2 linked regions of the Schizosaccharomyces pombe genome follow. Changing the gene in region 2 together with the main gene of any one other region gives a genetic interaction. Each region holds a gene or a part of one and is shown on either strand. Other genes may lie near its edges. The genes, in order: pek1 and yam8.

Region 1 (4,212 bases), on a different chromosome or scaffold from region 2:
CAGGCCAGGTCCTATAAACCATTGGGTTACAAACATCCACCATAGAGTGGCCACTATATACCTTGAAATAAACTTGAAGTCAATTTTGTTTCTCTTTTGATCCCAAGCATGATAAAAATATACTAAAGAAGTCCAGAACCAGCCTCTTTTTACAAAAATCAAATTAATCAAATTTTTCGAGTTTCCAAAGTAAGAGGTAATCGACCATTTGTCAACATAAATGCTATAAATGCTACCTAGAAGAAGTGTAGTGGCATATATTTCAAACAGAAGTATATCTTTGCGACGAAGCTTCAATATAGAGGTTTCTTCATTCCAATAATGACTAGCAGTTTTTTCAGTCATTTTTTTTAAATAATTTTTATTAGGCAGACAACGTATACAAATTAAACTTAAAAATAAAGATAGAACGGTGTAGTGAAAAGCAATTAATTCATTGAAAGAGTTAAGGACATGTATACCCTGGGAAGTTTGGTGTAGTTACACCACCAACTTACGTGCGTAGACTAGAAAAAAAACGAATCATTGCCTCACGTTATAAGAGAACGAAAAGAAATAGTCCTTAATTGTGGATAATTAAATATACGAATTCTTTCGTTTTTTAAGTTGCCATATAACGCCTATTTTGCCTATTTTTGTTAAAAAGCTAGCAAGGCGTAAATCTATCATTTCTCGCTACGATTTGAGTATGCATAATCAAGCCAAAATTATTTCTGTTAAAAATGTTAAACCCATAAAATTACTATAAAGGAGGTATTTGTATAAAGAAAATTAGAAAAACCGTTAGCAATTAATAAAAAGTATATATTATTATGACTTTCCTATTTATTTCATACAACAAGCGAACTGGAAGACAGTTAGACTCATAATATTTTGCCATTAATCAGATTATGCATTCTCCAATGTAAAGAAATTTAGCATAAGAATTTTCAAACAGAATTTATCAACTTACAGTGCTAACATATGACACTATTTCTTCTAATCAGACCAGACTTGACGAAGGAACTCTTCCATGTCCACATGAATTCTCTCAAACGCTTTAACCCAAGGATGGGTAAGCATTTTTTGGGGTCCAGGACGACGAGTTTTGTCTTTATCCAGACACACGCATAGAAAATGTTGAAAGGATTTCGACCATTTAATACCGGGTTCTTGAGGTAAAAGGGGAGGTGGCATATTTATTATATACGAGAGCAATTCAATAGGCATTGGTGGGGGGCTACCCTCGGGAGGGAATGGAAACCGGTTTAATGCGACCTCCATCAATGTTAAACCCAAAGACCATATATCTGACGATATAGTATAAGATCCCCCAGAAATTCGTTCAGGCGCCATGTAATACGAAGTTCCAGTGAATGTGCCAGCGAGAGAGTTAACCAATTCTCCAGATACACCAAAATCGCATAACTTCACTTGACCTTTTGACGTCAGAAGGATATTTGATGGCTTAATATCACGGTGTATTATTTTCCTGTCATGTAAATAGCTTAAACCGCTAAGGACACCGAATGCAATCTTGCCCAATGGTCGTTCTCCAGTGCGTCCACCTTGACTGCGTACGCGTTTGTATATCGCGTCGAGAGATCCTGCTCCGCAATATTCCATAGCTATGTTTAACTGACACTCTGCGTTATTGTAGCAAGCGCCATAATATTTAACGATGTAAGGAGAGGTACAACTTCTGTTGATTTTTAACTCTCGAAGGAGTTGCTTTTGTAAAGCGGTATTCGGAGCAGCTAATACAGTTTTCATAGCGAAAATCATCTGAGTCCCACGAATTCTGCATTTCCTTACAGAGCCACTAACACCTTCACCTAGACTGTTCATGTACAAAATACCTCCATTTGTAACCAATTCATGTAGGTGATCATCATCAAGTTCTTCCAGAAAGGAAGGAACAAATGTTTTACTATCCCGGCTCTCCTTTCGCTGAGTTAATTTCGACTCGCTAGAAAACACCAGGTCTGTAATCTCGACAATTCCTTGATTGTCATTACGTTCAGGATGACTTATATATTCTTCAGAGAACCCATTACTGGTATCTAAGTTCAAGACAGGTTTTTTGGACATAGAGGCATGGGCGCTTTCTTCGATATTTTTTCAATTTGTAGAAAGAGTGACAAGAGATGACTGATACCAAGTCCAAAAGTTTGTTTGTATTTTTAACAAACTTCAATTTTTATTCTTCTTTTCCAAAAACGCAAGGAAAGTAAATTCTAACGTATGGTCTTCCCGCTAAATAAACCTACCAATTATAAACTTTTTTGAAGTTTTTGCTTCCTGAATTAGAAAATTAGAGGATAGCACTATAAACGGAAACTTTGATGGAAGAGTTAATTCCTCGCAAACAAACAACCGAGGCCTCTATTAGAAGAAATCGTATAGTTTTCGGAAGCTATACTAAATACGATTGACCATTATTAGTATAACCTACATTTCTAAATTAGGACTTCACTAAATAACTTATGGACTTAGCTATGTAGATACGTTATTTTAGAATTAGTGAGACCTTTGTTAAAACGACTTCGGGAATTGTTCATTACGAGTATAAGTTAATGTAATTATGAGACTATCATATCCTGTGAGCTTTCTTCTTTTATTTACTATAAATGTCTACCTCTAAAATTATAATTAATTTTGTTCAAGGAAAACATAAAAGAATATATTTATCATTGCATGATTTTCTATGGCTTATAATAACTACATACAATCCGTTAACTATTATAAGAACACGATTAACTACGTAAAGTTCAAATATTGTGTTTTGCACGTTGGTTTACCGAAAAAGCACTAAATAACTTACAAGCAAACTGAAGAAATTAGTTTGAGTTCTATCTGTACTTATTTTAGAGAACAATAAAAACTTTATGTTAACCATATGAAGATTTTATCTGTGTATGTTGACCTAAAAGTCATTGAAAAATGTCGCATCAGCAATAATGTCTAAAGCAGCGTAATGTAGCGTAGCGTGTTAATTTTGCAGTAAGGGCAACAAGTTGAATCCCAATAGTTTGGTTTGACAGTACAGTAACCATTATATTTAATTTAAATAAAACCCTTACATCGGGGAGAAAACATGTCAGAACATACAAGAAAATCATTCTCTGATTTAGGAATATCGCCATGGCTTATCGATACGCTAAAAGCACTTGCAATATATGAACCTACAGATATTCAGGAAGGAGTAATTGCTCAGATTTTAGAAGGTATGCTTACAAAAATTAATAAAGTAAAATTAAGTGTAAAATGTGCCTAACAAATAAAAATTTATAGGACGTAATTGTATTGGAGGTGCTAAAACAGGTTCTGGTAAAACTGCTGCTTTTGCTTTGCCTATTATTGAAAAATGGTCTAAGGATCCATCAGGAATATTTGCTCTTATTTTGACACCAACCAGGTATAAAATATAACATTATTGTACTTTTTCTTAAAATTTAAATTAGTATAAATGTTAACTATTCTACTACAATTAGCTAACTCGAACAGAGAACTTGCAATACAGATTGATGAACAATTTGCTGCTTTAGGTGCTAATCTTAATTTAAAGCATGCGCTCATCGTTGGAGGCATGGATATGATACGACAATCTATTGATTTATCGAAACGGCCCCATGTTGTTGTAGCTACTCCTGGTCGCCTAGCTGACTTGATTAGAAGTAATGGTGAAGAAACGATAGCCGGACTACGTCGAATAAAATTTTTGGTAATGGACGAAGCCGACCGTTTGTTGTCTCCTACCTTTGCTGATGACTTGGATGATTGCTTTTCTGTTCTTCCAGCCTCTGAAGATCGTCAAACGCTTTTGTTTACTGCAACTGTTACTGATGCTATTCGTCAGCTCAAATATCAGCCACAGAAAAATAATAAGCCTCCCCTTTGGTTATACGAAGTTGAAACTGATAACATTTCCGTACCTTCTACTTTGCAGCAAAGTTACATATTTGTTTCCTCACAAGTACGAGAAGCTTATTTGGTGCATTTGTTAACGATTCCTGAGAACGCTAAAAAGTCTGCAATTATCTTTGTAAATCGGACTCGCACTGCTGAATTGATATATTCTATTCTTCGATTGCTCGAGCTTCGTGTCACCGAACTTCATTCAGAAATGGTACAACGTGAAAGGATCAATTCACTTGGACGGTTTCGTGCGGAAGCTGCAAAAATTTTGGTAGCCACTGACGTTGCAAGCAGAGGTTTGGATATTCCTTCTGT
Region 2 (4,047 bases):
CTTAACAACTTGTCTTCGATGCCCAACTTGCTAATTAAATCTAAGTTTGCTAAGCCAGCAACCCCAGCAGGACGAAGAGTTCTAGGACCTTGCTCAAACAAAACCGTTCCTGTTGGAGAATCTGCACACGGGATTTTGACCGACTGAAGCCATCCACCTAAACGAGGACCTTTTTCGTACAAATCAATAGTACATTTTGGAATCAATCTAGCAAGATAAAATGCTGTACTAAGACCAGCTATACCTCCTCCACAAATTGCAATTGACATAGAATTGTTGGTTCAAGGCAAATGCCAAAATGATGGGGGAAAGAGGAATGACATGATTTCAACTCTGTCAACTTATCCAAAAGTCAGTAGTTTTAAGAACGTGATTTAGTTAAAAGACGTGTTACAGTTTATTACGTTGATAGTTTACAGATACGTAGTTTTAAATAAATAAATAAATAAATAAGATGATTTTGGATGACAGATATCTCCAAGGTCTTCAATTTTTTTATTAAGAATTTCATGTAAAATTTTTAGATAGGCAAATAAAAGATACACTAGCACATATGAATACAAATGTATATGTGCAAGTAATATACTCAAAAACGACATAAACGAATGACCATTACTCGACAAACAAAATCCAGAAAATCAAGGAAATAAAAAAAGTCCGCCATGAAATGTTAAGAAGAGCAGAACCACTTTCATAAAATTCCACTCCGGGTGCATTACATGTGATTAATCCTGTTACATTGCTCACTTCTCCATAAGAAAACTCAAGGCCATAACCAGCCTTCGGGCATGCAAAGCCTAAATCTAAAGGACAACTTGAAGCTAATGAATAGCATAAATAAGAGCAAGGAAGGACCTCTTTATAGGGGCCTGGTTGTATTACTTCGTCAATAAGTGGATAACGGGAATCGTAGTTTTTGTAAATTAAGTAGGAAGAATTATCATTAATGTCGGCACATCGCGGAATGACACTGGCGCAAAGCCAATTTTTGTAGCTGTTGGCACAATCACTACAATTTTTTAATAATGAATACGCAGACCAAGATGTAGCATTACAAGGTATCAAATCGAGAGTATAAGTAAAGTTTTGATAATATCCGTAAGCTTGCTGATCATACCATTCTGCCAATGCCGATGCAGAAAATAAACTAGAATTTCCAGGCACAGCATAAGCAACTTCTGAGCAAAACTGCAGATCGTAGATCAATTGACAAGCTGGACTAGTCTTTGTGGTAAAAGTGACTCCTGGGTAAACAGTACCACCCGGTTGCCCTATATTGGGCTCGACTAGATACGCTGTGTAAGTGACGTTGGGATCCAAACCTTTCAAATAAAATTGTTCTTTAGCAAAAGGACCGAGACCACGAAGGGTCATTGAGCGATCAGCATTGTTAGTGTTAACAGTTGAGGGGTTGTTTTGAAAAGCACAGAAAGAACTTGAAAATTTGTTAAATGTGTTATCATAAGTGGAGTTAGAAGGGTTGACATATATCTCATAAGAAGGGATGATGGAGGTCTCATTTGTAGTGAGATTTCCCGTAATGAGTAGTGCTGCTTGAAAGTCGGTGTCCTGGGCAAACAGAAATTTAGTTGCATTGTATTGACTAAAGGGAGTGTCAATTCCAGCAGCTAATTCATAATTAATCACATTATTACCTTCTAAAGTAGATTCACCTGACTCGACAAAAAAATTGGGAGCAAATTGAGAAAAAGCACTGGACACAGCAATATATAAAGGTGAGTAGCCGGTTACAAATATCGTTGCTAGACCATTTTCAGAAGCAGTAATCGTAAAATTATCTAAAGGAAGAGCTTCGTCAAACGTATTGTTCGATATATATAACATCAAATCGTTCGCGCCATCAAAAGCAGTGCAGGTTGATAAAGTTAGACTAACGTTGTAAGCTGTGTTTCCTTCCCATGTTAAGTTATAGTAAGCAGTGCTTTGATCATTTATATTACCATTTATGGTATTGTTCAGCAGCAAGCTAGTATAAGTAGCGCCAAATATGTTTCTAGTTATCGACCAGAAAAAGAGTATCTTCAAAATTAAATGGGTGCTAAAAAAAAACATATAGAACCTTTAGTAATTACTTTCAAGGCTTTAATATTCAAAAGTAAGCTCAAAAGTTTCGCACATGCAAATTGAGAAGTTAATTGAAATTTCTAAAAAACTAGCAAGTTGTATATCATTAAGGATCGTTAAAAATATTCAAATAATCATAAAAGTAAATTTTGGACCTAATTAATATGGGTATTCGCTTTGCGAGAGAAAATGATAGATTTTAGATCTTCAGTCGGACATGCTTGGTTAAGAAATGAATGTGTCAGCAACTCAGCAGCAGTAGCTCTAAAAATGGTATCGATTGTAAGACAGGAATTTAAGAAAGATTTTAAGTTTTTAGAAACTAAATTAGGTTTTTTAAGAGTTGGAGTTCCATTTTTTGCTATCAGATACAATGCACGAATTGGATCCTCTCTGAGATAAGGCGGTTCGTTTTCAATCATCTCTATAATCATAATTCCAAGACTCCATATATCAACTTTGGTCCCATATTCGTTTTGCTTTACTACTTCAGGGGCCATCCAATATGGTGTTCCAACCATCGTAACTCGTTTATTAGTACGGTTAGACAATCGAGCACAAAATCCAAAGTCAGTAATTTTAATATTTCCAGAGTTGTCGAGTAAAACATTGTCACTTTTAATATCTCTGTGAATAATATTTCTGGCGTGCAGATGCTGAATTCCCTTGCACGTTTCTAGACAAATACGAGCAATTTGTGCTTCTGTAAGCTTACTTTTTTCAATAATATCAGTCAAAGATCCAGCGTTCATGTACTCCATCACAACCCATAAATGCCTTTCTCGAACAAGAAATGAATCTAAATATGTCACTATGTTAGGATGAATCGATTCTCTCATGACAGTGATTTCGTTTAAGATTAGTTCCTTTCTTGTTTGGCACTGCAAATCAATACTTTTTATTGCAACTGAGTCAAAAATACCTAATTGTTTTCCTCCGACGACTTTGGCTAAGTAAACAGATCCCGATGCACCCTGGCCAAGTTTATGCTTAACATTAAAATATTCGACAGGATCATGAGAAGTAACTGAGTCTTTTAACATGGCTAAAGCCTGTCTATCAGTCATTCTTCTACTCAACGTGTTCTTTGAATCTGCTTTGACCGGTACTTTGGTTACTTTTCCGGTCATGATAGATTCTACATGACTTTTGTCTTCAATAAAAGGCCTTATGATATGCTTTTTATCCGTCTGTATGGTTGTCTTCGGCTTGCATCTTTCAGTAATATTCATTTTAGTAACTCCAGATGTCGTGAGTTTATGATGTTTGTCAGCATCGCGAATAGAATACGATGTAGTAGAGGATCGTGGCAGTGTCTCTTTGCAAAATGAAAAACTATCTTTAGTTTCGCTTGTTGTATCCAACTGCTTACTATAAAAATCCAAAGCTTGAATAACTGCTTTCGGCTCCTCCATGCATTCTTGTTTGGTAATCGAACTACTCTGAAGTAGCAATATCCACTCCTTGGGTAATCCGACATAATTTCCTTCATTATCAATTCCCACATGCACTTGGTGTTTAGGATTCATCGGACTTGAAACTTTGCTAGCAAGCGCACGAGAAGATATTAAATCCATCCACTCATAACATTCCATATTATCGGCCACGGACAATTCACAAGCTTGAATCTCAAAATTTTTGGTACTACTTTTGAACCTCAATTTAAAGCAGAATGTCCTAGACTTTGAACGCTCTACTTTTTGAATATCCTTCAACAGCAACGTAACCTGAGCACTTTCAGACTTGCTTCCTTTATATATCGACAGAGAATTGCTAGAAAGTACTAGCCACTTTTTAGTCCAAGGGAGATACTTCATTTTATCTTCCTTCAGCATAACCCATCCTGATCGAATGATTCCCTTGCTTTTCTTTGTATCTTTGAGAGATGGAATTTCAACCGGCACGCCTCTTACACTTAAAAGCATTTTGAAAACGATGCAATAGTTTTGGTATACATGCTTC

Evidence for each region.
Region 1: of yam8 (region 2) and pek1, changing one suppresses a phenotype caused by changing the other (phenotypic suppression), as found in Schizosaccharomyces pombe (one study listed by BioGRID).

What each region holds. Positions count from the first base shown.
Region 1 is NC_003423.3:4,310,621-4,314,832, reverse strand, and holds pek1 (MAP kinase kinase Pek1), read right to left. Parts: upstream 2,391-4,212; 5' UTR 2,071-2,390; coding exon 979-2,070; 3' UTR 693-978; downstream 1-692. Other genes in the region: fit1 (CoA pyrophosphatase (FIT) family lipid storage protein), read right to left, coding at 1-345; ATP-dependent RNA helicase Dbp8, read left to right, coding at 3,077-3,206, 3,274-3,397, 3,487-4,212. UniProt on the Schizosaccharomyces pombe protein: Involved in the mkh1 signal transduction pathway that plays a role in cell wall integrity. Activates spm1/pmk1 via phosphorylation.
Region 2 is NC_003424.3:273,115-277,161, reverse strand, and holds yam8 (plasma membrane stretch-activated calcium ion channel Yam8), read right to left. Parts: upstream 2,074-4,047; coding exon 613-2,073; 3' UTR 501-612; downstream 1-500. Other genes in the region: hem14 (protoporphyrinogen oxidase), read right to left, coding at 1-269; PAK-like kinase Shk2, read right to left, coding at 2,241-4,010. UniProt on the Schizosaccharomyces pombe protein: Calcium-permeable, cation-selective stretch-activated channel (SAC) that functions together with CCH1 to mediate calcium entry into cells. Required during mating.